Lonchura striata: one gene and its partners. The protein of the gene in region 4 binds, or shares a complex with, the protein of the main gene of each other region. Links are inferred from orthologs where the notes say so. Each region holds a gene or a part of one and is shown on either strand. Other genes may lie near its edges. The genes, in order: POLR1F, TAF1C, POLR1E and POLR1B.

Region 1 (7,887 bases), on a different chromosome or scaffold from region 4:
CAGAGAATCAAAGTTTAATACTCTCAGGGTAATTTCTATTCTTACCACATAATAAATATTCTCTTCCAAATCTTAGGCTAAATTTCTTCTCTAAAGTGTCATATAGATCATTTGGTAGTTCCCCTTTTCTTGTGCTTCTTCATCCCCTAATTCATAACTACACATTGTGTTGTAAAGCTTTTTTGTTTTTTTTTTTTTAAGTAATTCACAAAAACACACAGCTAGTGGCCTATTCAGTCATATATGAGGCACATTGCACATTGCTGATTTTACTAAGCAATTACCCTACTCTAATTCAAACAAAAGTGATGTCCAAAAAATTAAAACAAACAAAAAAAAAAAAAAAAAAAAAGGAAAAAACCTCCACCAAAAAACACTAAATTACTCCCCCACCTTAACAGGTAGCTTGCAACCAAGAACACTGGAAAAAAAAAATTCTAAGACAAATATGGAAAGAATGCAGTTAAAAACCATGGAGGTTCTTATGTCCACAGAGGCACTGAAGACAAAATTGCTAACTTTCACTGTAACTTCACTGAAACGACACAGAGCATCCTTCCAGATTAAAAGAAGAAACAAACGAAAAATGCTATGAATTTGCCAGTAGGAGTTATATTATACATTAATCAAAACCATATTGAAAGAAAAACATTGCTCAGTAAATGACTTTTTTTCTTTTAAAACATGAATGAACTCTTCTGAAGACAAGATTTCTTTCAAGGTGCCCCATAAATTTACAGAGGCCTAAGGAGGAAGCAGACACATTTTCTTCTCTTTGAAATTCTCATGTTTCAGCAAGTCATATATTTGTCATTATACAATGCACATGCATGTGTTTGTGTGCAACTGTCAATGTAACCACTGTGTTCAGGACCCCTGGACTGTTTGCACTTGAAAAGCCTACGCACAAAGCTACTTTTGGACACCTGGATGCATTATTTTGAGCATGTATTATATATGTAATTGACAATTAATAGGTCAACACACTCGGATTTTTAAAGCTCAAGAAGCACCTAGTTTTACTTTTTCCAGAGAAAACTCCCATGGGAGTCCTAAAGAGCAGAAAGTTTAGTTTAAGACAAAATATATATATATATATAGTTATATATACAGCTATATACATACTTGTGTAAAAAATAAGAACACTGAAAGATTACAATCTAAGTGATTTTAATTGCATCTTAAAAAATGTATTGAATCAGTTAAAAAAATTCTCTATTAAGGCACTGTACCTGCTTTTAGTGAGTCCTCCTCGAATGAAGAACACCCCAGCTGTATCAGAATCCAAGTGCAACACTTGAAATTTCAGTTCATCCCCTATTTTTAACCCCAGCTCTTGCCACTGTACAATGGACATTTGTTCAGGCTTTGGGATAGATGCATTGAAGCATCCATGTATCAGGCAGCCAATGTGACTAGGGGCCACTTTGTTAATTATGCCCTAAAAAAGAAAAAAATAATGTCATGCAAGTCTATAGCAAAAATCAGCCCCTTCAATGCAAACCCTTTAAATATTTACCTTCCCATATGGAAAATTTTCAGTAAGAGTTTCAGTACAAGTTATGAAGCCAGTTTATCTAGCAATAAGTTAATGCTCCTTCATTAAAATCAAAGTTAGTTCTGTAAAGTCTTCATACAATTCCTCTGAAAATAGAACTAAACTGCAGGAGAGGAAGTCAAAACATTGGATTTAACTACAGTGAATACGTGAATAGAGTAGGTAACTCTTTTCTTTACACTACAGCGATCAACTTTGCTTTGAAGCCATTTTAAGTCTGATTTACTTGCCTAAAATGCTCTTCAAGCTGGCACAGAAGTACTTAGCAGCTGAAGATAGGGAAGACACATAAAAAGCTTCTAAATACTCCATTCAGTGGGTTTCTGACACATATGCATATGAAACCATATCCACCTTTGTTTCACCCATAGGATGAACGACAGACATCAAAAATTTTTCTATTATCCTCCTAGGAAGATGGCACATTCATCTTAAAACACAATTATAAAGACACCATCTGTGCTGCAAAAGGTATGGCACAACAATGAATGCGAGCCAACTCTTAACGTGCTTTACCCACAAGTGCTCAGCAAGGGTTTTGACAAGTTTAAAGCTGTTCTGTGAGCACACACCTCCTTTAGTGAAAGGCAGGCTAGCTCGATGTACTGGTCCTGTGCTTGGAGGAACCAAACTGGAGAGCATCCTAAACATTCCTATCACTATAACAAATGCACCTGTTTGAGAATTATCTGCTATTCAGAATGGAGCACCGGTACGATATACACGCTTATGATACACTATTAAACATGCAATGCTTATGACACAACCGTTTAGCAATATATAATTATACGGAAATTCAACAAACCTAGAGACGTGCAAAACAGAAAAACAACAATAAAAATTGTAGAACAAGCTAGTAATAAACTGCTATGAACTACTCATAAGTGGATAAGCTAACATAAACTATGTCTCCACGTAAGAGCCAGAGCACTTGATGAAGATAAGGCAAGTTTTGACCACTTAATAAAAAAAGCCCGTGCCGTAAGCATACCACCAGCTTCTTCCCTTTCTTGGGGCTGAAGATGATGAAGTCCGCCTCGACGTTCAGGTGGATGAACCCTTGGTCGTCGTAGATGTCGCCGAGCTCCCCCACCACTTTGATGTTGTCGTAAGCCACGGGCACACCCTGCAGGCTGCAAGGACAATGAGGAGGGGTCACCGTTAGCCGAGCCGAGCCGGGCCGGGCCGGGCCCGCCCCGCCGCCGCGCGGCCGCACCTCTCGGAGTAGCGCAGGAGCTCGGCGTCCAGCTGCGCGCGGATGCCGGAGCGCTTGCGGCCCAGGAAGCGCGGCGGCAGCGCCACGTGCCGCCGGCGCGGCCCCGCCACCAGGCACGAGTGGCGGCGCGCCAGCAGCGCGCGGGCCGCGCCGAACGACGGGGCGGCGGCGGGCGGCAGCGCCGGGGCGACGGGCGGCGGCGCCGGGGCGGCGGGCGGCTGCCGCGGCACGGCCATGCGCCACGGGCCCGCCGCGCCGCCTGATGCCGTCAGCCGCCTCCCTCCGCCGGCCGCGCCCGTGACGGAGTTCCGGGGGATGTGCTCGCCTCCGGAGGGGTGTTCCGTGCCGCAGAGCGGCGGCGGTGTTAAGTCTTTGCAGCCCGCTTGGCGTGTCGCCGGCACGGGCCGGTCAGAGCTGGAGGGAGCGGCGGGTCCGGCTCTCACGAGGGGAGCGCACCCGCGGCGCCCGGAGCCCCCCCGGAGCCCCGCGCGCCCCGGGGCGGGAGACGCGTCGCGGTGCCTTGTGAATGTACATTGGGCATTTGGCCATCCAGGCAAATGACACGGCGACGAATTGCCTTATTCTTCATATACAGCAGTTTTAAAATACAGAATTTGTAGTCTGTTGCCCCACCCCAGATCCAGTTTGTGTATATGGTGACAAATGTTTAAATTCATTTAATAACAGGACAACAAAATAAAGTACAAGTCCTCAAAAGGGTTGCTGGTGCACTCTACACTGCAATTACGTACAAAGTACTAGAACCTTTACAAACTGCAGTACTAGAACCTTGTCCAGTTACGAATGATGGAATTTGTGGCTGGTTAGTGAAGGCTTTGTCCAGAAAAGTAATTCAGACTTTATATCCACGCAAAGCGGCGCAGCAGGATTTTACTTTAAACTGATTCAACTGAACTAATGCAAAACGTTCAAAAGGTGTTCTCTCACTGATTTAAGTCTAATTTATATTGACTCGTTACAGTAAATGTACACTTTCAAACTGATTGAACCCACATGGGGAGTTACCAAAAAAAAAAAAAAAAAATTTGTCGGTTTCATTAAAGGTGTTAAAATTCCTTTTATACTGTGGAGGGCTCAGAAACACTTGTTTTGTGAAAACAAGCCTTACGTCAGATACCAGAAATCCTTGAACTCCCTATAAAACATTTAGTGATGCAAAAGCCTTTGAAACTACTCAAACACTACATCACCAGAAAGTTTTCTTTGACTGAACATACTGTGAAGACAGGACATTGTTAGCTTTCACAAGTAAAACAAATGGTATAATTTGCAGTACTTTACTGCAAGTAAAGTTGGATTAGTGTGAAAGACCTGACATAAAAATGGCTTTCAGATGTCATACCAAACTCCAAAATCGAAAGAGAAAATGTCTTGAACTACTTTAATCTGTATTCTTATGTGGCTTTAGTCCTCCAAGGTATTTAATGTCTGTTGAAATTAATTTCATGTTATATGGTCTCAGCTTTCTGGAAAAAATATTATATTTTTTATTTCAACTATTTGGATCATATTTAAACCTTGCAATGTGCTTTCAATCTTGGTTAAAGACCTTAAACTATAACTACATGCACTTCTATTCCTAAAAGAAATATATTTTTTATAACTCTTATTTATGGGTGGATTTAGTTTGCAGTGAGAACATATAATACACTAAGGGCTCTACTCAGTTTTATCCAGGATAATAAAAACCTACCTTTGCTCTTAAAATAAAAACTAATAATAAGATGGAAAAACAGCATGAACAAAAATGTGGACCTTTGTATTTCACCCCATAGTCAGGCTGGCTCGCCAAGATGGTGTCAGAAGGGCTCTGTCTCTCAGGGCCTGTGGCTCTCCAAGGTTATCCCCATGAACTTCTGTCACCAGAAAATTCCCTACAAGATTGAGTCTGTACTTTCTAATTGAATCTCCATTTCTCCTTGCTACCGTGCCTGGTTTTCATTGCACAGCGCTCTTGGGACTTCCAGATCTCCTTTCGGGCTAAAGCAATCAGGAGAATGAACTTTAAATCCTAATGGTCATTAAGTCTGTGTGGTAGGGCAGAAATAATTTAAAATAGTCTGTTTGAAATCCTTTAACTGTAAATACCTGGCCTCAGCAACAGCTGTTTTTCTCTGCAACTCCACACCTGTCAGGTGCCACTGCTTCCTGGTGCAGCATGGTCTGTCTGTACCAAAAGCTGTGTTGTGTTGCAGGCTTGTAGAGATTTCAGACTCATGGTATGACTTGAACTCACTACCTCTCTGTAAAAGATACTCTGATAAAAGAAGGAATCTCAATCCAAATGCCACCTCCTCCAGCCAGAGATCAGTTCTTAAAACCACCTGGACCATAAGACTTAAATGCTGATATCCCCACATTCATTTCTTGGCTTCTTTCTCTTCCCTGGTTGTATAACTTTTCTTGGTGTTAGCTTTCAGCTTAAGGAGTCTGTCTCGGCTGACCTTTCAGCAGCACTCCAGTGAGCCTGTGTCCAAAAAGGCAGCTAAAATCAATGTCTAAACCAGCACAGCTGTTGGTATGTTTGCCAAGTCCCAGACTGGCTGATAAGACAGTGCTGAGCCTGATTTTCTCTAGAGGTCAGGTTGCAAGTAACAATGGGGACCAAACCCAAAAGGTGCCTTTGCAGTCACTGCTGTTCTTTTTCTTCCTGTTTTATTTGGGTTAGTCTTGTTCTCTCTGTGAAAGGATGGCCAGATTCCAAAAAGGAGATTCCTTGAAAACAAAAAATTCAGCACCTCTCAACTGGTCTTTTCTATCCATACAGTCACTGCCATCTTGTATTCAGATTTCTGAATTGACAATGTATGTTGGGTGTAAAGTTCATCCAGTTGCTTATTGATGCTCTGTTGTGGCAGGTGCAACTCATTCATTCAGAGAGTGGCCCTCATCCAGCCTTAAAATCCTGGAAGTCTTGCAGAGTGGAAGAAAACCGATGGCAGTGTGCTGGAGTAGGAAATACACTCCCCGTTAGGACTGTGTTGCTGTAGGAATTTGTGCATTTTGAAATTTATTCCATCACATCCTTATCCCACAGCTTGTGCTCTATAAAAAGGATAAATTAAGAAATGCCTCAGCTGCATTAGTTAGATACAGTACAAAAATGGTGCTCTGGATTTTTTTTCAAATGTTTTAGCTGGCTTCTCCTTTTTCATTTTTAACCCTGCAGTATTTTTAATGACAGTTCTTGCTTTCATACTTAGAAGGAAGAATGAGTGCTCAAAACTCTCAGTTTTGTTTTTGAAGTTGCATGGTAATAGGCTTGCTTCAATATCTTTGACCTCATGACAAATGGAGACTAATGGCAGCATTTTTAGTCATTGAGAATGAAATATCTAAATGCCATTGAGAATTGTCAGCTTGTGGTTCTATATATGGAATTCTGATAGGAATTCTGTTTTGTGGAAGTTATTTTTGAAAGGGTGACCATTCAGTTACGTATAAAATCTATCAGTGCAAAGGGTTAGCTAAAGATAACAACAGTTACAGTAATAAAGGCTCATTTGACTGCAAATGTGAGAGGAATTAAGTTGTTACTGTCAGGCACACATTAATTTGAGCAAATACAGGATGATAAGATGAAACTGTCAATGGCCAAAGAAGGTAGATTCTCCTGACAGTGCATTCGGACTCTCTTTATTTGTACTTAAACAAAATGTACCAAGTGCTGAAAGTCCACCAGATGGCACACAAAAGCCTTGGTATGGGTAAGTGCTGTCATCCAAGAGAACGAGAGGAACTGCATGCCTGGCTGAAAATTTAATCTGTGTTACACTATGCAGACTCTTTGTTTTGTCAGCAATTAGTAGGTCAATCCCTAATAGCTAGGAAATGACTTTGAAAAACATTAAGGGAAAGAAATGCGATAAGACAGCAATTATGTTAATTTCTTTCAGCTAATAATTCATCTTGATTTGTAGTGACACTCATGATGTAAGGACAGGGAGCGGTTGGAGTGAGTCCTGGGGAGGGTCACGAAGATGATCAGAGAGCTGGAGCACCTCTCTGTGAAAACAGACAGAGAGTTGGGGTTGTTCAGGCTGTAGAGGAGAAGAATCCAGGGAGACCTTACAGCACCTTCCAGTATCTAAAGGGGACCTATAAGAGAGACATGAAGAGGGATTTTTACAAGGGCATGGAGTGGTGGGGCAAAGGAGGATTGGCTTCAAGCTGAAAAGGGGTGAGCTTAGATTGGATATGAGGAAGAAGTTCTTCCTTGTTAGGGTGAGCCACTGAAACCTGGTGCCCACGAAAGTTGTGAATGTCTCTTCCCTGGAAGTGTTCAAAGGCAGATTGGATGGGACTTTGAGCCAATGGAAGGAATCCCTCCCTGCAGCAGGAGGAGTTGGCACTAGACAATGTTTCAAGTCTCTTCCATCCAAGCAATTCTGTGATTCTGTTCTTGGGATGGACATCTTCGAACAGTTGGGGATTGACTAGATTTGCCTTTGGTCTAAAAGTAGGTTATTGCCTGCTGGGAAATGGCTGATATGGCTGGCAATCACTCTTGTGGAGGTAAAATATCTTGTCTATAAATATATTATTGAAATATTATATATTATATAATATTATACAGATATATGCAATATAAATATATAATATTTACTGAAATAAATATATTACTGAAAGATCTGTGTTCAAGTAGCTCACTGGCCTTCTATCTGTAGAAATAATGAGCCTGATGTAGGATGCCTGGTGCTGACTGTGGTGCCCCTCTCCAGCTCCACTGGTGATTGAAGGCATAGTTTCAATAGCACAGGCATTATGAGCTGTGGAGGTCTGGCTGTTTGTTGGTCTAATGCTGAAACTCTCCTGTATTGTTTCCAGCCAGTGAGTGAAATGTGTACAGGTAGTGGATTAAACAGTATGACAACGTGACCTTTCTCATAGAAACAAGAGGTGATGTTGCCACAGAAACAAGGGAGGAAAGCAGCCTGTGCCACTGTGAGAGCAGCGAGGCTTTTCTGCAGCACTGTGAATGGCTCTGATGAATGATGCTAACAAATGAGATGGATGCACAGGTTGTAAATGGGGTGAATGAAATGTCTCTTGACAATCTGTCTGTGCTATTTTGCAGTTTATATTCTGAGAA
Region 2 (7,960 bases), on a different chromosome or scaffold from region 4:
TTTTGGTTTTTCAGCCACGCTCCAGCCAGGCCATGACAAAGGCTACACTTCACTCTGTTCCACCTTCTCCCTCACCAGGACCTGCAGCCTGGGGCAGAGTGGGACACTCACCTGCTGCTGGAGCTGACAGGCGCTGCTGGAGCAGGTGGTGGCGGTGTGGGAGCTGGGTGGGCAGGTGCTGCAGGCACCCTGCAATATTGTGCAGCTTCTGCGGAGTCCCAGCCAGCTGACAGGCCGACTGGCTGCCCCCTGAGGAAACACCCCAAATACCGTCTGTTTAGCACAGGTGCCAGAACAGCAGCTGATCCCAGCAGCTAGGACATGGGTACAGAGCAGCCCTGGCTCTGGAGCTTGATTTCCTACCACGGTATTGCAACAGCAACAGCTCCTGGGTGCGGGACGCACCGAGCAGCACCCTGTGGCTCCTCTCGGGCTTCCCTGGCATCAGGTGTGCAAAGAGTGGAGGGGCCTTCATCATATGTGGCCACTTCAGAACAGGCACCAGTGGCAACCGCTCGTCCAGCACATACACGGAGAACTAAGACAGAAGTCTTGGGTCAGACAGGACACACCTCAACGCACTGTGGCAGCTCCCCTCACTGGAAAATCCTCATGCCCCATAAGCACTGGGAGACACAACTGTGTGTCGTGTCTTCCCCAGCTCCCAGCTGTGGTGGGACTCACCTGGGTGGTGACAAGGTACTGTGAGGGGTGAGCCCTACCCAGGTACATGGGCAGCACCACACGCTCGCCCTGCTGACAGCCAGCTTCCTCGCCCACCTTGAACAAGTCGAAGTGGCATCTCTTGGGGGCCTGAAACAGTAGAACAGGGTGCAGTCAGCACTCTGGGCTGTGGAACCCTCTTCCCTGCCTGCTCCAAGCAACACACCCACCCTCCCAAGTTCACCCGGGCATCCAGGCACTGCAGGCCTGTGCGGTCAGCACAGCTGAGCACTCGTGGGTGAGCTGTGAAGTCACTCCAGCGCCAGGGTGAATGGTCCCGAAAAAACATGGTCTGGGAGTCATGGCGGAGCTTCTGCAGCCTGTGGGGAGACAGTAGTATTGGCACAGGGTAGGGCTGCCCCAGTCACTTGGGCCTCCCACCCCCCGAGACTCCACTGTCTGCATGTGTCCCTAGACAGCCCTGAATGCCCTATCTCACCCGGTCTCTACGCTCCAGAGGTAGACAGTCCCGCTCTGGGTGCAGACAGACAGCTCCCCGGGAAGGTGAGGGCTGCAGGACAGGGGACACAGCATCATCATTGTGCAACAGAACTCACCACACAGAGCAGGGCTGTGCCAGCAGAGCACCCCCCACGCACAATCCTTTCCTCCAGCACCCACCTGACAGTGAGGCAGGAGGCAGGCACATCGGTGCGGATCACTTGTAGTGGGGCAGGAGCTGCCCCTGTCTTGCCCGGCACCCTCCAAACACCACAGTGATAGTCTGAGCGAACCCCAACAAAATCTGTCAGGGGGAAGGAGTTGGCATGTAATCTGGCAACATCCCAGGAGTGCCCTGCTGCCCCTCCTCCCTACATCTTGTCTGCTTTGAGATGTGGATGCTGGGGCTGGCTCACCTTGCCCATCCACACGGGCTGCAGCCACTTGCCGGATGCGCCCGCTGAGCTCAAACTGCACTGGGGAGCCTCGGGTGTGGGGCAGCCCCTCCAGCACCACATCCTGGAAATCTGGGATGCTGGCTAAGGGTGGTGCAACACAACCCCCACTTCCCTCCCCAGGGTCATCCCATGGGCAAGGATACAGAGGTGGTTCATAGCCTGCCCTCCAGGGTACACCAGGCAGCCCCTGGTTGTCCCCCCGTCTTCAGGGGGCAACCAGGCCAGTGCCCCCCCAGTGAGGCTGTCGTCAAAGAGCAGGTTGGACCACTGCTGCGTCAGCTCCTCATGCAGGCAGTCTGCCAGCAGTCCCAGCGGCACCTCGAAGAGCCAGTCACGACAGAGGTGGGAGAACCAGCGCAGGCGGGAGGCCAAGTGCTGCCGGGGGCAGCCGCTGCAGGGCATAGACAGCATCAGGTTGGGGGACAGAGCAGGAACTCCCCTAGACTGCTGCAGGGCAGGGGACAGAGGGACACTCACCGTCGGGCCTCCAGGCGGTCAATGTCTTCCAACAGGGCTGTCATCCGGATGGTGCTATTCCGGGCTGGTCTCTACAGGAGTAGGGAGCAGAGATTGAGACTGGCAAGGGGAAAGGAGGGGAGCAGCACTGTTACTCCTGGACAGACAGTGACCTTCAGCTTGGCGTTTCCCAGATAGAAGTTCTTGTGCAGCAGACGCCCCAGGGAGCCAAAAGCATCTTCTGGGTGATCCACAAAGAAATGGCCCAGCTGTGTGGGCAGAAGGAGAAAGGGTCAGTGCATGCAAAGGTCCTTGCCAAATAGCTCCTTGCCAGGATGCAATGCCTCAAATCCCACCTGCCTGGCAAAGTCCAGAGTGGCTCCAGACTTGCCTATCCGGAGCTTCCTGCACAGGCTGCTGCGGTACAGGATGTCCTGAGGTGCAGGCGAGGGGATCCAGCAGCCTGTGGGGAGAAGGCAGAGGTGGCTTGGCATCACACGAGCACAGGGTCACCGCTCAGCACTGCGGGGCAGCGGCAGCGATAGACGTGGGAGGCATGTTTCCCCCAGCCCCCGTGCAGAGAGCTCCCTCCTGCTCCCGCGGCTCTCACCCGCTCTGGGCAGCAGCACCGGCACGGCCGCAGCGTCGGCGGCTTCCCACCTTTCGCCCGTCGCGCCGCGGCGGGGCACGAACGCCGGCTGCACCTGCGGGGAGCGAAGGAGGAGAGTCAGAGCGGCCCATGAGCGTCCTGCCCGTTCCCTCGGCCCGCCGGGACCCCCGGCAGGGGCTCACCTGGCGGCGGCCGGGGCCACCCTCCAGCACCTGCCCGTGCTCGCCCCAGCCGGCGGCCGGTGCGGGGCCGCCCTCTTCCCGCGGCGGGCCGGCGCAGAAGTAGGAGGGGAAGAGCGCGGCCGGGAACTCCATGGCCGCGGCACTGGGCACAGGCGGCAGCACGCGGCCGGGCCGCCGCTCCCGCCACCGGCGGGGATGGCGCGGCCACCGCCACTGACGTCACCGCGCGCTGCTGCCGCCGCTCACCAATCAGCGGCCCGGGAACAGCGCGGGACAGAGCGCCGACGGCGGTACAGCCATGTGGGGCGCCACCGCCCCCTGGCGGCCGGAGGGTAAAAACGTACGGCCGGCAGCGGGACGGGAACCGGGAACGAGCGGGGACGGGTGTGACCGGGATTGGGAACAGGAACGGGAACGGGAGAGGGAGAGAGGAGCGGTGGGACTGGGATGGGATCAGGAACAGGAAAGGGAACGGGAGAGGGAGAAAGAAGCGGTGGGACTGGGATGGGAACGGGACGGGAACGGTAGAGGGAGAGGGAAGCAGTGCGGCTGGGATGGGAACGGGAGAGAGAGAAGGAAGCAGTAGGACTGGGATGGGAACGGGACGGGAACGGGAACAGGCGGGAGAAGAGGTGGGACCCATTCGGGAAAGGGCAAAGCGAAGTGGTAAGACCGGGACGGGAACGGGCGGAGGGAAATGGTGGGATGAGATGGAAACAGGACGGGATGGGTAGGGGAAGCGGTGGAACTGGGGCAGGACCGGGCAGGCACAGGGAATAGTGTGATAGGGCCGGGGCAGGACAGGCACAGGAGAATTATTGGGTCAGGACCCCGCCGGGGCACGGGCAGGAGTACGGGCATTGTTTCCCTCTGCCCGCCTCGAGAGCAGTGAAACCCCCCTGTGAGACCTGCCAGAGGCACACCTGTTTTTCCGTGGCCCCGGCTGTGTGGCCATGGGGCACCCCACACTCCAGCGGAGTGTATGGGGCCATGGGACAGTCTCAGATATCTGAGGGCTGTGGAGTTGAAGGTCAGCTCCTGGAAGGTTGTGGATATGCCAGTTCCCAATCCCACCTTGCCCTTCCTCACACCTGCTTGGCCTTGGTGAACCCACTCCCACCCCAGCTCTGTGCTCCTTCCTCCCCACAAGGTGGTTGTTGGCTCCCCACGAGGGACCCACCAAGCTCCCATGGGAACCCACACAGAGTTCATGTTAGTCCCATGGGGTTCTGATGGGATCCTGGAGCTTTTGGAGAGTATCTGGCAGGGAGACAAGTTCCCCAGTCCATTTCCCAAGGAGAGCATGACCAGCTTTCTCATTGAGGGACAACTGTCCTTTTACCTCCCTGTGTCAGAGGCCACTGGCCCCGGAGCTGTGCTGGTGAGGTCTGCATTGGGGAGGGAACCTCCAGCCATGCCTGCATGGGGGTCTGTGCTCTGGGGAGGGTTGCTGGGCAGTCAGGCTAGGGACATGGTGGGGTGGCTGCTCCTGCTTCAGCTCCCAGGGTGCCCTGTGTGGAGCATAGGATGGGAGAGGAGCATGCCCATGAGTAGTAACCTGCTTTCTCCATTATGGCCAAGGAGGATGGTGATGTCAGGAGAGTCTGGGGATGATGTTGGGGGACTTTGGGAAAGCATGATGAGATTGTTTCCAGTCAAGATGGCCTCATCCCTGCAGTCTGAGGATCCTGCATCCCTGAGTCTGGTGCCCAGACCCCCTCTGTGGGACACCTCCTCTCTAAGATACATGCTACAATTTGCTTTTAGAAGGTGGTAACCACTGATAGAAAACCACCTGACCCCCCTACACAGCCCTCTGTGGGGTAGATAGCCCCACCACCTCCAGCTCCATAGGTAGCCCTCGCTGCCTTCCATCCGTTTCCTTAATTCCAGGGCATGCCAGCAACTCCATGTCCCTCTCCATTATATATTTTTGTACCCAGGACATATTTCTGTGCCCAGGACATATTCCTGTCCCCAGACCCGTATCCCTATCCCCTAGACCCACATCACTGTCCTCAGTCATTGTTTCTGTCCCTCTCCCCTAACCTATGTTTCTGTTTGCAGCCCCATGTTCCTGTCCCTCAGCCCCATATCTCTGTTCCCGGCCTATATCCTTGTCACAGCACCATGTCCCTGTCCCAAGCCCTGTGACCCCTTCCTGGCCATGTCTCAGTTCCAGAGACATGTCCCTGCCCCCAGCCCTGTGACCCCATTACCGGCCCGTATCTCAGTTACAGCACCATGTTCCTGCCCTCAGCGCCTTGTTCCTGGTCTCAGCCCGTGTCCCTGCTCCAGACGGTGTCTCTGCCCTGTGCCCCCGTTCCCGGCTCCTATCTCCGTTACAGCGCCATGTCCCTGTGCCCAGCCCTGTGCCCCAGTTCCCGGCCCATATCTCGGGTTCCACGCGGTGCCCCTTTCCCGCAGCTTCCCATCTCCATTCCCGCTCGTGTCGCTGTCCCCTAGTGCCCCGGTCAGCGCCGGGTCCATCCCGAGGGGATCGGAGGGGAGGAATTGTCTCTCGGAACGGGCGGGGCGTGGCGCGCCCGCCGGTGATTGACGTGCCCGGAGGCCAATGGCGACGAGGGAGGCTGTCCCGGTGGGCGGGGCGGATGACGTCAGGGCCGCCGGTGCGCGGCGGGGCGGCCGGAGGCGCGCGCCCCACGGCAGCCGCGGCGGCGGCGGCGGCGGCGGCGGCGATGGCCCGGCGGGGCGGCGGGAGCGGCGGGCAGCGCCTCCCGCTGCCGCTGCCGCTGCTGCTCCTGCCGCTCCTGCTCCTGCCGCCGCCCGCCGCCGGTGAGCGCCGCCGGGAGACCGGGGCGGGGGGCGCGGGCGTGGGGCGGCGGGGCGAGCGCGGGACGGCGTGCGGGAGCGCACGTCGAGGGTGCCGGCGCGGCGGGGGCGAGGCGGTACCGCGGAGGAGGTGTGTGCGGTGGGTGGGAGAGGTGGTGGAGCGGAGAGCGGTGGTTCGTGCGGCGGGACGCAAGGGATGACGAGCTTGGGATGGGTGTGAGGTACGGGAGCCTCGGGGTGTGGGGGGTGCGCGCAGCGGGGCGGGTGGGATTGGAGCACGGGGGTGTGTGCGGTGGGCAGGGGGGCTGCAGGCACGCGGTGCGGGGGTCCGTGCGGAGGAGCACAGGACAGCGTGCCGGGGGCAGCGGGATGAACGTGTAGGGTGGGCGTGAGGTACACGAGCAATGGGATGTGGGGTGTGCACACAGTGGGGTGGGCCAGGTGAGAATGGAGCGCGGGAGTGTGCGCGGTGGGCAGGAAGGCTGGAGGTGAGTCACAGGGCTCCGTGAGGAGCCGTGGGGCAGAGGGATGAACTTGGGATGGGTGTGAAGTACACGAACAATGGGATGCGGAGTGTGCCTGCTGCGGGGCAGGGAGTGGGTGAGATGCGGTGGGGAGAAGGGCTGCAGGTGTGGGCTGCGGGGGTCCATGTGGTGCGGCACAGGGGGTGAGCTTGGAGTGGGTACCTGTGTAGCTTGGGATGAGCTACATGAGCAATGGGATGTGAGGTTTGCATGCAGTGGGGCAGGGTGTGGGTGAGATGGAGCATAAGGACGCAGCTATGGGGGGATGGCATCCTGGGATGTGGGGTGCACCTGTGACGGGACACGGTGAGTGTGGCACAAGGGATGGGGCCATTATGCGGTGGGCTTTGGGGCAGATATGCTGCAGAGTACAGAGCTGTCCCCAGTTGGGTGTGGGGTGCCATGGGGCACAGGGTACATCTACACTGGGACATGAGGTGGGTGCGATGGGTGCAGAGATGCGTCTGCAGGGGGGTGTTTGCATAATGGGGTACAGGGATGCCTGTGTAGAGGGTACTGGATGTCTGTGGAATGGGATGCATGGATGTGCGTGCAGTGGGGCACGGTGTACCCATGCAGTGAGGCATGGAGACAGATGAGCAGTGGGGTGCAGAGTTGTGCGTGCGAGGAGGATGCAGGCAGTGCACAGGCAGTGGAACACCCTGGGAGGGAGGCGTGTGCGTGGGCAATGAGTGGGCCCGGGGAGTTGCAGATGCAGGGCAGAAGGCTGTGTGCGTGCAGGGGAGCAGCGGAGATGGACAGCCTGCAGAAACGGGGGTGTGTGTCCAGCGGGGCGTCAGGATGTGCGTGGGATACATCAACGGCAGTATAAGACCAGGAGCAGGATATGGGGCAAGGAGATGGCTTGGTGAACGGGGTGCGGAAGGTTACTTAGGGGCTTCGAGGGGGAAGGGGGGAAGCTGGCCGGGGGCTGCCGGTGCTAGGGTGCAGCGGGGGGGGCGGCAGCGGGAGCTGTGCGCGGTGCTGACCGCCGGCCGCGGAGCTGTCCGCAGTGCTGACCGTGGCCGAGACCTGAGGCTGTAGCAGCGGGGCTGGGGTCCTGCGGCTCAGGCCGCTGGCCGGCCTGAAGCAGAGGGGCTTTGGCTTTTCTCTTTCCATCCACTCTGCTTCCGTGGATAGCAGTCCCGTTCCATCCTCCAGCACCGTTCCCATGCTCTGGCTGCACTACCATGCCACATCAGTCTGACCCTCTGCATGCAACCAGTTCCCTCACATTGCCCTGGATGAAAGAGCCTGGATGGGGGGCCTGTGTGGGGACTGGGTAGCTCCGGGTCCTTCCCCCAGTTCCCCTTCTGGAGTTGTGTTCAACACCCTCCCTGAAGTCCCGCGCCAGGTCACTGTCCCCACGTGGGGCTGTGGAATGACCAGGTCGTTCCTGGTGGAGAAATTGGTATCGGATGCTCTTGCATTGAGGAGGCAGGTGTTTCATGTCTGGCTTGTGCCGGCTGGGAGCGAAGGGGAGGGGGAGCTGCCTTTGTTCCAGACAAGGGAGCAGATGCATGTCAGTGTACAGCCTACTGGGGATGCACACACGCAGCACAAACACACGTGCATGCAAGCACATGCGCACACTCCTCACCAAGAACATGTGGTGCAAAGCAGACCCTCTTCTCAGCTATCCCACTTTATGCTGGATGAGTCTTCCTGGGCACAGACCTGCTCCCAGCCTACCCTCTGCTGGCCTCCTCCTTTCCAGCAGCTTGTGAAAAGGGGTATCTCATTCTTGCTGTGTCTCTAGAGAAAAATGGATGG
Region 3 (7,377 bases), on a different chromosome or scaffold from region 4:
ACAGTGAAACACCCTGTGCACCCAGGGAACACAGACCCCAAATCCAACACCCTGAGCACCAGGGAACACAAACCCCAAATCCAACACCCTGTGCACCCAGGGAAATCCAACACCCTGTGCACCCAGGGAACACAAACCCCAAATCCAACACCCTGTGCACCAGGGAACACAAACCCCAAACCCACCTGCACAAGGCAGAAACACAAACTGAAACTCCCTGTGCACCCAGGGAACACAAACCCCAAACCCCAAATCCATCTGCACAAACAGAAACACACACTGAAACCTATGCACCCAGGGAACACAAACCCCAAACCCACCTGCACAAGGCAGGAACACACACTGAACACAAACCCTGCTGCTCCTCCCACACTTTAAACTCCTCCTGTGGCAGGACCCGCAGGTGCAGGGTGCGCTGCTCTGCGAGGGGCAGGAGGTCACTGGGCTGGTGACCAGCCTGCAATAACCAGGTAAACCAAGAAAATGAGGAAAATGCTCCTGAGCCAGGCAATGCTCATGCTGCCTCCTGGACACTGGGAAAATGCTGGCCCTGCACAGGTTCACCCTACAGGACAGCAAACCTCCCAGGCTGCAGACAAGCCCCTCACAGCTGGACAGTCACAGCAGAGCAGGACACAGCTCCAACCTTACCTTCTCCCTGTAGGATTTCTTCTGATACTCCTTTGTGTCGTCAGGTATCATGTTATCTACAAAACAGCAAGAGTCAGTTTGCTTGCACAGAAGAAGCAGGACAGGAATTCCTTTGGCTCTGTGACCGACAGACTGGGCACAGGACCTGCTCCATGTCCCCTGGCTCAGTAAAGGACATGACAAATATGAGAACCTAGGAAAAAAGGCTTCTTCTTCAAAGCCTTACATGCAATATATGGACTATGGCCCAGCCCACGTCCTGCTGCTCAGGGTAAAAATCAGCCACAATAGATGTGACCCTTTGGGCAATGACAAAAAGCAGCCCTGCTGGATAAAACCTGTGGGTTTTTGGTTTTATTTTGTTATTCAGGGGTGCAATTCCTGCTGAGGGTCAGGCTCCCTCAGCAGAAGGCTCCCAGAGAAGGCAGCACCTGAGCAGTGAGGCTCTGTGAGTGCCTCCCCGCCTGTAGAGTCCCTGCTGAGCCCCCAGCCGTGCTCCCCCTCCCAGGCTGTGCAGGAGCTGTCCCTGTCCCTGCCATGGGCACCAGGACACAGCCCCGGGCTGCCAGCACCTCCCACCTGAGAGCAGGGGCTGCATGTTGAATATTTCAGCATTGTAGACCTCCATCTGCCCAGAGCTCCTGTCCAGCACGCCAACAAAGTACCTGGGGAGAACAGGGCACTGATCAGCGAGAGGCAGAGAGCAGAAATCATTTCAATGTCATGGTTGTCTCACAGCCCAGCAGCTCTCCTGCCTTGCACACACAGCACTACAATAAGCCAAGGCTCCTCCATGGCATGTGTGCACACAACAACAGAAGAACTGATACTCTAAGTAAGTGCAGAAGTCCTAAAAACAACTGAATTCGGTACAGTGTAGGTGCCAGAATTCTGCTTTTTTCTCTTAAAGTGTAGGTGCCAACATTCTGCTGTTTCCTTTTCCCTTTCTTTTTGCTAGGCAGGACTCGATGGCCATAGCTTGAACAACAGCTGAATTTCCAAATTTCCTCCCAGAGCTCATGATCCTCAGAGCTGCAGGCAAGCAGCCCAGCAGCCCCCAGACCACTGGCTCACCAGTGTGAGGCCCGTGTGCTGCTTTGCTAGCCCCAGCAGTGCTCTGCTAGCCCCGAGCAGTGCTCTGCTAGCCCCGAGCAGTGCTAGCAGTGCTCTGCTAGCCCCGAGCAGTGCTCTGCTATCCCTGAGCAGTGCTCTGCTATCCCCGAGCAGTGCTCTGCTATCCCTGAGCAGTGCTCTGCTATCCCCGAGCAGTGCTCTGCTATCCCTGAGCAGTGCTCTGCTAGCCCCCCCCAGTGCTCTGCTATCCCCGAGCAGTGCTCTGCTAACCCCGAGCAGTGCTCTGCTATCCCTGAGCAGTGCTCTGCTATCCCCCCCCAGTGCTCTGCTAGCCCCACCCAGTGCTCTGCTATCCCCGAGCACTGCTCTGCTAGCCCCACCCAGTGCTCTGCTATCCCTGAGCAGTGCTCTGCTAGCCCCACCCAGTGCTCTGCTAGCCCCCCCCCAGTGCTCTGCTATCCCCGAGCACTGCTCTGCTAGCCCCACCCAGTGCTCTGCTAGCCCCCCCCCAGTGCTCTGCTATCCCCGAGCAGTGCTCTGCTAGCCCCACCCAGTGCTCTGCTAGCCCCCAGCGGTGCTCTGCTAGCACCATGTGCTGCTCTGCTAGCCCCCAGCGGTGCTCTGCTAGCCCCCAGCAGTGCTCTGCTAGCCCCGTGCTCCTCACCTGCACAGGGAGCTGCACTTCGTCCCGTCGGTGCCGAAGTTGTGCCCCACGTAGCAGAGCCGCTCCGTCTCCGAGACCTGGGAAAGTGGGAGAGACCCCTGGAGAGGGCTGAGGGACACCAGGAGAGCTCCTGGGGAACCCAGAGACACCAGGATGGTTCACACCCCCCGCTCTGAGCCCGTTATCCGCCCCTGCCCCGCCGTGTGCCACTCCCGCTCCATCCCGCACCCCGGTACTCCGGTACCGCGGGTGCCGGGCGCTTACCAGGATCCTGTGGTGCTTCTTCCGCGGGTGCGTCGCCTCCCGGTGCCGGTACGCGGCGAAGCGCAGCGAGTCGGGCCGCTCCAGCCGGCCGTTGGCGAACCGCACTAAGGGAGAGGAAAGCCCGTGAGGCGTGGGGCCGCCGCCACCCCCGGGGCCGCTGCCACTCCCGGGACCCGCCGCTACTCGCGGGGCCGCTCACCGAGCGCCGCCGGCAGCTCCGGCTCGGGGTCCCCGCGGTAGCGCCAGATGGCGGTGGCGGTGGCCATGGTGAGGGCTGGGCCTGGCTGGGCCGGGCTGGGCCGGGGACGCCGCTCGGTGCCGGTGCCGATGCCGCTCCTCCGCCTCTTCCGCTGGTGCTTCCGGTCGCGGCAATAAGCCCAGTCCCCATTGGGTGAGGTGAGGCTCCACCGCCGCCTGGAAGTAACGGGGCCGCCGGTTGGCTGCCGGCGCGGCGCGCGCCGCCCGCGGCCGGAAGTGACGTAGGGTGTCGGCGCGGCGGGGCGGGAGCGGGGCCGGGGCCGAGCCCAGGCCCGATCCCGATCCCGGTCCCGATCCCGAGCCTCGCACCGCCCGTCCCGCACCGCCCTTCCCGCACGGACACCGCAGGTGAGCGCGGCGGCGGGGGGCGGACACCGCGGAGCCCAGCGCCGGGCGACACCGTGGCTCTCCGGTGTCCCCGGTGCGGCCGTGCGCGGCACGGAGCGCAGTGCCCGCTGCGCGGTCCCCGCTGCTGGTGCAGCGCGGCGGGGCAGGTGCTCCTCTGGGAGGGGCACGCATGCTGGCTGGTCCCGGTGGTGCGTAAGGGAAAAACGGGGAAATAACGGGGAGAAAACGGGGGAATGGGGCAGTGTCTCGGGAAGAGCAGCTCCCGGCAGGAGAACCCAGTCATCGCAGGTCGGGTGACGTTCCGGACTCTCAGAGGCTCTAAATCACTTCATTTTCCCGTGCTGAACAGTGCAGGTGATGCCAGGTGAACGATCTGCCGTTGTGACTCCCTCCGAGGACACGCTGGGATTCCGGGGAGAGCCCCCGGCCAGCACCGGCAGCGGTGGCAGGGAGCAGAGAGCAGCAAACAGCTCCGTGTTTGAGGACGGACCTTGCTGTGCACCCTCCTCAAAGTGTGATCCCGGCCGTGTGCCCTTTCTTTCAGGCTGCACTGGGGTCTGGCTGTGTTGTGCTCTTTCCTTCAGGCTGCTCTGGGGTCTGGCTGTGTTGGGCCCTTCTGGCTGTGCTGGGCTCTGGCTGCATTGTGCCCTTTCCTTCTGGCTGTGCTGGGGTCCCGTGCCCGTCAGTGCTGCTGCAGAATAATGTGAGCTCAGGAACTGCTGTGTGTGTGCCTGGGGAGTGCTCACCGAGCCTTACACGGCACGGGGAGAAATGGAGATACTCTGAGGGTCACCTCCGTGGTCCTGAGGTTGATCTGCAGGACAGGTCTGATGTTAGGTGGTGAGGACTGGGGAGAAGCCAGCCCCGGCTGCTGGCTGCTTGGCTGGCTGGGCAGTGCCGTGTTTTTCTGGGGAAGGTTGCCCAGGTGTGCTAGCAGTGTGTCAGAGGGACAGCAGGTCGTTTCGATCAGTTTCACCAACCAGAAGCGACTGTTTCACAGTAGGTGTGGGTGTGAGGAGACCCACGCAGTCTGGGCTCCAGCACAGCTGCCTGTGTGTGGCTGGTGCTGAGCTCAGGCTCGTGGTGTTGTCACTGCTCCTTCTTGTCCTCCCGACCTGCCTTTGGTGCTGTGCCCATGTGCTGGTGGGACACTCAGGGCTGTTTGTCTGTCTGTCTGTCAGCTGTCAGCTCTTGTCCTAGCTGCCAGGTTGGCTGCAGCCCGGCCAGGAGTTCAGCCGTAGGATCACACAGCAGCTTGGCTTGGGAGGGCACCTTGTCTTCTTCCACCCCAGCCAGGGCAGGGACACCTCCCACTGTCCCAGCTGCTCCAGTCCCAGTGTCCAGCCTGGCCTGGGCACTGCCAGGGATCCAGGGGCAGCCACAACTGTGCCAGGGCCTGCCCACCCTGCCAGGGAACAGTTCCATCTTGTGCTGCTGTTTTTCAGTTTGAACCCAGTCCCTGTTCTCCTTCACTGCAGACTCCCATGAATAGTCTTGTAGCCCCTTCAGGCCTGGAAGGCCGTGGTGAGGCCGCCCTGCAGGCTGCACAATCCCAGTTCAGCCATGCTCTGCTTGCAGCAGAGCTGCTCCCCCGGCCAGCCCGGCGGCCCACACAGCGGTTCTCTTGTGTTTTTGCAGGACCATGGATTTCCCTGGGCACTTTGAGCAGGTCTTCCAGCAGCTGAACTACCAGCGGCTGCACGGGCAGCTGTGCGACTGCGTGATCGTGGTGGGCAACCGGCACTTCAAGGCGCACCGCTCGGTGCTGGCCGCCTGCAGCACGCACTTCCGCGCGCTCTTCACCGTGGCCGAGGGCGACCAGAGCATGAACATGATCCAGCTGGACAGCGAGGTGGTGACGGCCGAGGCCTTCGCCGCGCTCATCGACATGATGTACACGTCCACGCTGATGCTGGGCGAGAGCAACGTGATGGACGTGCTGCTGGCCGCCTCGCACCTGCACCTCAACTCGGTGGTCAAGGCCTGCAAGCACTACCTGACGACGCGGACGCTGCCGCTGTCGCCGCCCAGCGAGCCCGCGCAGGAGCAGAGCGCGCGGCTGCAGCGCTCCTTCATGCTGCAGCAGCTGGGGCTCAGCATCGTCAGCTCGGCGCTGGGCTCCTCGCAGGGCGCCGAGGAGCCGCCCGGCGCGCTGGGCGCGGCGCTGCGCGGCGGGCTGGAGCAGCGCGCCGCCTTCCCCATGCGCCGCCTGCACAAGCGCAAGCAGTCCTCCGAGGAGCGCGCCCGCCAGCGCGTCCGCCCCGCCATGGACGAGCCCGTGGCCGACGTGGCCGCTGAGAGCGGGCAGCCCAGCGTGCACTCCCGGGAGGATTTCTTCTCTCCGGACTCGCTCAAGATCGTGGACAACTCCAAGGCCGACGCGGTTGCCGATAACCAGGAGGACAACACGATCATGTTCGACCAGTCCTTCGGCGCTCAGGAGGACGCCCAGGTGCCCAGCCAGTCGGACAATGGTGAGGGGAACATCTCCCAGATGTCTATGGCGTCCCAGGCCACGCAGGTGGAGACCAGCTACGACCAGGAGGCTGCTGCTGAGAAGAGCAACTTCCCGTGCGAAAACCCCGAGGTCAGTCTGAACGAGAAGGAGCACATGAGGGTGGTGGTGAAGTCTGAGCCCCTGAGCTCCCCGGAGCCCCAGGACGAGGTGAGCGATGTCACCTCGCAGGCGGAGGGCAGCGAGTCGGTGGAGGTGGAAGGAGGAGTGGTGAGCGCAGAGAAGATCGAGCTGAGTCCCGAGAGCAGCGACCGCAGCTTCTCGGACCCGCAGTCCAGCACCGACAGGGTGGGGGACATCCACATCATGGAGGTGTCCAACAACCTGGAACACAAGTCTTCTTTCAGCATTTCCAACTTTCTGAATAAAAGCAGGGGAAGTGGCTTTGGCGCCAGCCAAAGCAACGACGACAACATTCCCAACACCACCAGCGACTGCAGGATGGACAGTGACGCCCCTTACCTGATGAGCCCGGAGTCGGGGCCCGCCGGCAGCCACTCGTCCGCCGCCGTGTCGCACGTGGAGAACCCGTTCAGTGAGCCCACAGACTCCCACTTCGTGCGGCCCATGCAGGATGTGATGGGTCTGCCATGCGTGCAGAGCTCCGGCTACCGAGCGGCGGAGCAGTTCGGCATGGATTTCCCACGCTCCGGCCTGGGCCTGCACTCGCTGTCTCGGGCCATGATGGGTTCTGTGAGAGGCGGAGCCGGTGGCTTCCCCGGCTACCGCCGCATCGCCCCCAAGATGCCCGTGGTGACCTCGGTGCGGAGCTCGCAGCTGCAGGAGAGCTCCTCGGGGTCGCAGCTGATGATGAACGGCGGCAGTTCCTTCGAGGGCGGGCACCTGTCGCAGCCAGGCCCGCCGCAGCTGACGCGCGCCTCCGCTGACGTGCTGTCCAAGTGCAAGAAGGCCCTGTCGGAGCACAACGTGCTGGTGGTGGAGGGTGCGCGCAAGTACGCCTGCAAGATCTGCTGCAAGACCTTCCTGACGCTGACGGACTGCAAGAAGCACATCCGCGTGCACACGGGGGAGAAGCCCTACGCCTGCCTCAAGTGCGGCAAGCGCTTCAGCCAGTCCAGCCACCTCTACAAACACTCCAAGACCACCTGCCTTAGGTGGCAGAGCAGCAACCTGCCCAGCAGTTTGCTGTGAGCCCGGCAGGCAGGCGGGCGGGCGCACACCGGCGTGCCACGGTGCCAAACATAGTCTTGGCTCTGCCATTGGGGATATCCGGTACCTACCTCGCGGGTGTCGCCGCCGGGAGCCGCGCGGCGGGATGGGGATGCGACCCCCACGGCCAAGAGCCCCTTTGCAGGGCAGAGGGGCGACAGCACGGGGGTCTCCTGAAATAGCACGGTTTGAGAACAAGAAACTGACGTGCGCTTTCCTTTCTTTTTGTCTTCTCTCTAAAGCGTTTTGTAACAGTGGAAGCATTTAAATGATTACTGTAACATGAGTTGCTGCATTACCTGAGGATGGAGCTGCAGACCCCTTACCTTTCAAAGAGGAAAACAGCTTAGGCTGCACCTGTCTGACATAATGCTTTAAAATACGCTACTTACGACGATAGTTCTAGGATTATGAATGTATGTTTGGCTGTTTT
Region 4 (7,264 bases):
CCAGAAGGATTTTCAGAGCAAAAGATATCTGTCTGGTCACATACAAGCTTACTTTTTCAATTTTCTTTTGTAGTTTTCTCTCTCTTTTTTTGTGAGTTCAAAATGCAGTGCTAAATAAGTATGTATTCAATTATACACAGCTAACATGCTACTGGGAAGACAGGGAAAAAGCTGCAGAAGACAACTGGGAATGGAAATGTCTCTTTCAATGCCTATTCTACAAATCTTTCCTCACAGTCCCCTTCACAGCACTCTCAGTTGCTGTGTAGCAGCTGAGAGGTTCTATAACAAAACTGTAGGTATTGACACCAAACAGATCCCTGTGTTCAAGAACAGCCATGGCTGCAACTTCTCAAGCTGCTTCATCAAGCCCCCATAAACAATCTGCTTTCAAGAGAAAATGGAAAGTCAAACTTGAAACAAAATATAAATGTTCAAGCCCTGCAAAGAGAAAGTGGCCTGACAGACTGCTCAGGTAAAACACAGACTTTCCTGACCCTCAAAATCCCCATTACCTCTTCTTCCTCACGATGCTGCATAAGGTCTTGTGGAGAAAAACCATAGAGGTTGCACAATTTGGACTTCACCATGATTGGAATATATCCTAGGGGCTGTTTGATAGTCCCTTGTGGCGTGTCATTCAATGACCAGCTGATGTCGGCCTAAAACAACACAACACCAACAGTAAGAAAGTAAAGTTGCCCTTTTAATATCTCCTGCTATATTAACTGCACCTTTCATACAACCACAAACAGTTGAACGGACTTGTATCACTGTAAAATGGTAACAATAATAAAAAAAGGAGCCAGTAGATACATGCATGAAGATTACACTCAGGGGAACAGTGAACATAGGTTTACAGAAGAAAATCATACAAGTCTAGAGTCAGGTAAAGAAGCTTCTGGGTGAGTAAACAAAGTTGGTCTAGCCTCCTTTGCCTTCCAGACCCTTCAGCAGAGCAGCCTAAATATAAACAAAACAAACAAAAGGCAGCCACAGGTAAGAAAAGTTCAGAAGGTTAACAGTTAAAAGTAGAAGACAGAAGTGTCGACTAAAAAGACATCCACACTACAGGCATGACAAAATCTTTCCTTTCTTCACCTAGCACATTTGTGAGTGATCTTAAAAGCAAGAAAGAAAAGCATGCAGGAAAAAAAAATTTATTAACAAGTTCTGGCAGTGGGTCTGCAGGAAGACTGTGGGAGCAAAGAATCCTAACTTTACATGCAGAATGATGGGCTTTGAAAGAGCTGCTGTCCTGCAGGAAAGAAACATTATTACTGCAACACAGGAACGTGAGTTCAGCATCTGGCAGCAGCAAACATGAATAACAGTCTCAGAAACTACTGGAAAAGGGAAGGGAAATGCTACTGTGCCTCTTTAAATCCACGGGGCAGCCTTACACAGGCACTGCTACAGCCTGGTCTACACCTGAAGTGATGACTAAGGGTCTACAGCTGCTCAGTAGACTGGGGCTCACATCCTACTCTGGGGCAGTGGGAACTGAGGGAGGGATATGGAGTTAAGGCAGCACAGTGGAAACAGGGAATGGTTACTGACTGTTTTCTGCTGTGCATGGGCAGGGAAGGGGAGATGTTAACCTCTCCCAGCACAAGATAATGCCTTTTCACTCAAGACACAGCAAACTGTTCTAACTGCTCCAAGCATTCAAAAAATAATTAGACAGACAATGAAAAAAAAAAAGGAAAATAATTCAGGTAAGAAAAATAAAACCAGCTGTAGCTCAGGAAAATCTAAGATCCACTGGGAATACAGCTATGAACAATCTGCACTGTCCCACTTTCATTTTCAGACAAGGTACTGCACTTAGAGTGACTTTCATCATGGCAAGGTATTCAGAGAAATTAAAGGCTGCAGAGAAATTAAAAAAACCAACACAAATGAAAGCAAGCAAAAAAGCTGAAGTTCCAAGCAAGCAGTCCCTTGCACCAGGTGCCTCACATATGCAATCAGTTCAGACACAAGTACATAATTTTAACAGAAAACAGCCACGTGCAATCCTTTCACACTGCAAAGGAAAATATTTGCTGGGGATGCTTCCTCTCCGCGCAAATTACAAAGCTTTTCACAAAAACCATGAACTTGTGAACAGGAGAGATTTATAGCTCTGGACTTCTGTATGGGACCAACGCTGCTTTTGAAACCTAGATTCCTGCAGAAACAAGATTTGGATTATGCTGCTCTCTGGGATGACACGGGTCTCCATCCAAGGACTTGCAAGCTAGCTGGCTGCTTGCAGGGAGAAACAGGAAAGAAGGGCAGCAGGGTCGGGACCGCGACAAGCTTGACGTGCGGGGGAAAAAGAGCGAGGCCGCACATCACCAACACCCCAGAGCCCACGGGGGCAGCGCTCCCTGAACCCCGCGGGAGATCGGAGAGCCGGGAAGGGCCTTTAAATCTACAGCGCAGGGGGATGGGAACACGCGTGTGCAGAGCTCTGCTGGGACAGGAACACGCGTGTGCGGGGATCAGCAGCCCCACAGGGCGGGGACACGCGTGTGCAGAGCTCTGCTGGGACAGGAACACGCGTGTGCGGGGATCAGCAGCCCCACAGGGCGGGGACACGCGTGTGCGGGGACACGCGGTGGGCGCGGGCACTTACGGTGATCCTGCCGCGGTAGGTGCTGCGGACCCCGCGGCACTCCGCTGGGAACACCCTCCTCTCCTGGCACACCGTCCCGGCCGGCACGGCGGGAGGGGTGATGGACACCCCGACCAGCGTCAGCGCCAGCCGGGTGTCCTTCAGCGCGAACTCCACCGAAGGCACCTCCTGCAATGGCACCGGGTTAGGGCGGCGGGGGCGGGAGCGGGCCCGGCGCCGCGCCCCCCGCCCCGCGCCCCCCGCACCTGCACGGCGCGATAGACGCCCTCGCTGACGGCGTAGTTGAAGGACTCGATGTGGGCGCTGGTGAGGTGGCGCTGGGCCGTGCCCCGCCGCGGCCGCCGCAGGCGGTGCGGGTCCGGGCGCGACCCCGTCCCGGCGCCCGCCATGCCGCGCGCTGCTCCTCACGGGAAGCGGCCCGCGGGAAGCGCCGCGTGCGCGCCTCGCGCCGCCTCCCGCGCGTGCGCGCCGCTTCCCGCCCGCTCCCGTCCCCGGAGCCCGCCCCGCCGCTCCGGCCCCCGCGCTGCGCTCCTCCCGACGCGCAGCCCCTGATCCCGGTCGCCCCGTGCATCCGTGTACGCCCCAGGAACGGGAGCCTGGCCACCCACCCATCCCCGTCACTCTCCGCCACTTCTTCCGCACGCCTGGAATTCCGAACAACCCCGCTGTTCCCCGGCTCCCACCGCTGCCGGGACAGCCCAGGGATTGAGGCCGGTTCCCGGGGTCCTGGGGCTTGGCACCGCAGGAACGCGCTGCCCCAAGGAAACACCAGAGGCGGTGGGGTTTGCATGTTTTAATGATGATTTAGGAGAGATGTGGACAGATGTGAGCTCACCGGAGAGCCGGGAGCTCAGGCATTCGCCAGCCCCACATGCACATGCTGGCGTGAGAACAGCTGGGCGCACGATCCCGAGCCCGCCGGGCGGCAGCGCCCCGCGTACCTCACACCGTCTCAACACCAGGGTTCCCCAGGGGCTGCCACAGCAGACACGGTCATGGAGCACGATTATGAACGGCACAGCCCTGCTCTCCGGGGGGAGAGCTGCGTGTGGAGAACAAGAAATGCTGCGAGCAGGGACATGCAAGCAGTCCTGAAGGGCACTGGTCACAGTCGCCTGGATGCAATCAGCGTTCGAGCCTTTCTTAGACTTCTCCGGCATTCTCCATGGACTGTGGGCAGCCACCAGATTTCAGCAGAAGCACAACATGACTAACTCGTATGGAACAAGCCACATGGGTGTTACCTGAAACCCAGAGTCCAGTGGGACCAGACCCTGCTGGACAACGCAGCCAGAACACCTGGGCCAGAAATTCTTCATGGATGACATGAAGGGATACAACTAAGACTAGAGACATTCTGTAGTATGGTAGGTGTCTTCTGGAAACCCAGAAGTATCCTGGGTAAAAGCTCAGGAAAGAGAGTAAGACCTTGTCTATTGACCTTTCAGCTGAAATAAACTAGAAAACATTTATTGTTGTATATTCCTAAAAAAAGAAACAAAAAAAAAAGTCTCACAGGGGCTTGTGAGCATCACTTGCAAGGTGCACCCATGGCTGCAATGCCAGGCCTCAGCCACATACACATCCTCTACTCCACCTCATAGCTAGTATTTTGGGCAAAACTTTAGGCACTGTGCTCTCTGTCCTTTATCATTTACCTTCTGTGCTTTACTTTGGGGGACACTTTGAGAGAAGGTGAAAAATACACATTTTACTCCAGAGAATGCTGCTTATTCCTGAAAAATTCAGCAGAGGATTCAAGTGTCCCTCAAACACTACCTCCCCCAAGCCCATCTGGAAAGGCAGAATAGCTGCATCATCTGTAGTTGTGGCTCTACTACCAAGCATTATCTAAATTTCCCTTTTGAGGGGAAGGATGGGTCTAGCACCCCAGAATATGAGGATTTCTTGGATTATTGTGATGGGGAAAATTTCCTGTTCTTGTCTGCCCTAGCATTTATGAGAGCTCAGCTGTCACTTCAGACACATCCTGGATGAAAGCAATTGCTGTGAGATCTTCCCACTGCAGAGCAGAAAACATGCAGTTTTTAAGCTCAGCTAAGCTAACATGAAAATGTCAGTGGAGATGTGGTGAACTTAATGAGTAACAACTCTTCACAGCCTACATTTTACCTCAGTGAGTTACCACCATTCTTCACCTGGACTGCAGTGAAGTTCTGACACCTCTGTGCGATCATAAAGTTAAAAACCCAACCAATCCTTCTCCCACATCCTTCTCCCTCCTTATCACCCAGCCCCTTCCTGTCAGGATTGTCTGCTGCATGAAGAACTCTGAAATCTCCATCACAAGCAGAGATGAGTACACCAAAATGCTAGGTTCTTCTGAGGAGGGCAGAAATTCCATTGCTTGATTCACTTCCCATTATACGCAGGCAACTTCTAATCTCCACAATGTCTTCTAGTTTGTTTGTTATGGGGAACAGGAACCTGTTTCTTTCCATGACCATCTCTCCCTCCCAGAGGGATGTGCTGGGCTCACACTGCAAATTCAGATACACTTCACAAGGGGAGAAACCTGACAGGCATTTAAGTTATACTTGAAGCAGATGCTAGCTCTGAAATACAGAGATCTCAAGAAATTTAACCCCTCCTTCCCCCCAGAGCACCTGATTTCCCAGATGTGTGGCAAACAGGAATGTCTCTCCTGGTCTACAAAATCTCACCCACCTTGCCCCTAGCTAAGATCAAGTTGTGGACTGTGTTCAGGGCAGAAGATTACAGTATTTGTCAAAGGGAGGAGAATAAAACCGGTTGGCTCAAATGGGATTAGGTAGAAATTTCAGGTTCAAGCCTCAAGTAAATCATGAAGGGAAAATCTGAGACAAGAGCCTAAGTTCACTGCAGTGCCTCAGAAGAAACTGGGATCAGGTTTCTGCTACTTGAAACACTCAGCACAAAAGTGATGCTAGAAATCCTACGGCCTGCTGGTGAGCTCCGAGGGGGTCTCTCTACCTCTTTTAAGCAGAATCCAACTGCCTCAGACTGGGACAGACACTGATTCAAATCTCAATAGGAAAAGGGATAGCTATAAATAAAGAAAATCACCTTTCTTGCCTGGGTTAATTCACCACCTGCAGTTCAGCACCCTTTTGCCAGCCATTGCCCAGGTGTTCAGCCAACCAGCTTGGAAAATGACCTAAGGAAACTGACTTCTTGGTGTTCCTGGTTTTAGGCACCAGGAGAGCTTGCTCCTTTCTATGTAACAGAGCAGGAACAAAGGAAAGGAGTCACCTATTTGGAGCCGAGCTAAGGCACTAATGATGCAGTAGGTGAGGAAAGAATAAACACAGCGGGAGGAGCACAACTCCACCGTTCTCTCCACTCAATTCCCTTAAAAAACCCAATGTTATCTCTATAGAAAAGGAGGAGCTAATACAGCATTACAGTATCCCTGCTGGGGTTTCATTTTAAGGTTGTTTTGTTGTACTCCCAGAGAGATTTGTTTCAGGTATCAAAGTCACAGAAGCTGTTTCTAAAGTGGATTTTGGTGAATGCAGGCAGAGTTATCTGAGCAGCTCTGGCTCATCACAGCTCTGTGAGGATGCCTGTTTTGTTGTTTTTCCCTGTGGTCTCCCGGAAAATATGAAGCCTGTCTCTATCACTTTTTGGCATGTTACTGAGATAAGCCACCGAACTGTGCTGACACGAGGGGTGCAGTCTCTCCCTGTTCACAGTGGTGGCAGTTGTGTCATCATCACAGCTTGATGAAGATTGATGATGACTGGTTCATCTTCTGCCCAGTGTCGCTGAGGGGGAAAACGCTGGAGATGGCTACATCCACAATTCCTTGGCAGAGCTCTGCATACAGCTTCCTAAGAAATGAGAGAGAGAGAATCAGATACCCAGGCAGGCCAAACCAGCAGAGGCCTGGCCAATTTTTATGGAGAAATCCATTTTCCCAGCAAGATCTACAAGATCCTATTCCCATTACAAGGAGTTTCAGGGTGGCAAATAGGAGGAGAGCAGTATCTCTTCCACCTCCTCCCTGTTTACACCAATATTTTCTTTTTCCATGGTGGTAATTCCCAATATTTCTCCCTTTCACAAAGAACCACAAAACCCATTATCTATGTTTACAGTCAGAGGCTGTGGACTCTCAGGCCCCAGACTTGAGTCTCCACAAATGCAAAGGAGCAGAAAACATCTCAGGGCTCCCTGTAGCAGCTTTCCAACTCAGGGAGTTGGGATTTACTGCTCCAGACATTGTTCACACAGGAATGTACCCCAGAGGGTCTGCTCTGATGCATTCCTGGTTTGATGAAATGCTGTGCTGGGGTGCAGCTGTACACATCAGCTTGTGACCAGGCACAGGGGCTTCACAGGACCCTCAGACATGTGGGATGCGTTTTACCATGGCACAGCTCATGCACAGCAGGATTAGGGAGAAGAGAGGTGTTTGAGTTAACAACAGCTTCATTTTCTGCTGGAGAAAACGCATGTGTGACGTTCCTAAATGTGCTGGCATCTGGGACGCATTTAGTACCAAACCTGTTTTTCCCAGGATTAACAATGTCTTTTAGTCCATGCCACTGGGGCTATGTGACAGTAAGATGGGATTTTTATTGCTTACAGCAGCCATTTTTTTTCCCTCTTTAAATCAGAGCTGTGTGATACAAGTGC

Evidence for each region.
Region 1: POLR1B (region 4) and POLR1F share a complex: the UniProt entries of both Homo sapiens proteins name them as parts of the RNA polymerase I (Pol I) complex. The link is inferred for Lonchura striata from reciprocal best matches to the Homo sapiens genes POLR1B and POLR1F.
Region 2: POLR1B (region 4) and TAF1C share a complex: the UniProt entries of both Homo sapiens proteins name them as parts of the pol I pre-initiation complex. The link is inferred for Lonchura striata from reciprocal best matches to the Homo sapiens genes POLR1B and TAF1C.
Region 3: the proteins of POLR1B (region 4) and POLR1E are in contact, whole or in part, in a cryo-EM structure (PDB 8A43), measured with the Homo sapiens proteins. The link is inferred for Lonchura striata from reciprocal best matches to the Homo sapiens genes POLR1B and POLR1E. Residues at the interface, in NP_061887.2 of Homo sapiens: Lys254, Ser258, Phe259, Ser260, Tyr262, Gln263, Gln266, Ser295, Thr296, Gln297, Ser338, Thr340, Glu341, Ala532, Cys535, Pro541, Ile542, Asp543, Gly544; in NP_071935.1 of Homo sapiens: Gln27, Ser29, Asn30, Gly31, Tyr69, Thr76, Leu79, Lys80, Cys81, Leu84, Cys85, Met109, Gln110, Pro111, Leu112, Phe113.

Annotation. Positions count from the first base shown.
Region 1 is NC_134603.1:126,368,771-126,376,657, reverse strand, and holds the start of POLR1F (DNA-directed RNA polymerase I subunit RPA43), read right to left. Parts: upstream 3,011-7,887; coding exon 2,775-3,010; intron 2,692-2,774; coding exon 2,550-2,691; intron 1,442-2,549; coding exon 1,233-1,441; intron 1-1,232. UniProt on the Homo sapiens protein: Component of RNA polymerase I (Pol I), a DNA-dependent RNA polymerase which synthesizes ribosomal RNA precursors using the four ribonucleoside triphosphates as substrates.
Region 2 is NC_134642.1:39,697,906-39,705,865, forward strand, and holds the start of TAF1C (TATA box-binding protein-associated factor RNA polymerase I subunit C), read right to left. Parts: upstream 3,003-7,960; coding exon 2,871-3,002; intron 2,783-2,870; coding exon 2,689-2,782; intron 2,542-2,688; coding exon 2,435-2,541; intron 2,348-2,434; coding exon 2,252-2,347; intron 2,171-2,251; coding exon 2,100-2,170; intron 2,014-2,099; coding exon 1,766-2,013; intron 1,692-1,765; coding exon 1,581-1,691; intron 1,469-1,580; coding exon 1,345-1,468; intron 1,235-1,344; coding exon 1,163-1,234; intron 1,044-1,162; coding exon 908-1,043; intron 814-907; coding exon 685-813; intron 539-684; coding exon 364-538; intron 250-363; coding exon 112-249; intron 1-111. Other genes in the region: TMEM8B (transmembrane protein 8B), read left to right, coding at 7,446-7,920. UniProt on the Homo sapiens protein: Component of the transcription factor SL1/TIF-IB complex, which is involved in the assembly of the PIC (pre-initiation complex) during RNA polymerase I-dependent transcription.
Region 3 is NC_134642.1:86,297,285-86,304,661, forward strand, and holds the start of POLR1E (DNA-directed RNA polymerase I subunit RPA49), read right to left. Parts: upstream 3,012-7,377; 5' UTR 2,920-3,011; coding exon 2,853-2,919; intron 2,758-2,852; coding exon 2,654-2,757; intron 2,467-2,653; coding exon 2,390-2,466; intron 1,317-2,389; coding exon 1,231-1,316; intron 708-1,230; coding exon 652-707; intron 1-651. Other genes in the region: ZBTB5 (zinc finger and BTB domain-containing protein 5), read left to right, coding at 4,902-6,926. UniProt on the Homo sapiens protein: Component of RNA polymerase I (Pol I), a DNA-dependent RNA polymerase which synthesizes ribosomal RNA precursors using the four ribonucleoside triphosphates as substrates.
Region 4 is NC_134605.1:18,959,167-18,966,430, forward strand, and holds the start of POLR1B (DNA-directed RNA polymerase I subunit RPA2), read right to left. Parts: upstream 3,013-7,264; coding exon 2,869-3,012; intron 2,792-2,868; coding exon 2,624-2,791; intron 663-2,623; coding exon 516-662; intron 1-515. Other genes in the region: TTL (tubulin--tyrosine ligase), read right to left, coding at 6,339-6,456. UniProt on the Homo sapiens protein: Catalytic core component of RNA polymerase I (Pol I), a DNA-dependent RNA polymerase which synthesizes ribosomal RNA precursors using the four ribonucleoside triphosphates as substrates.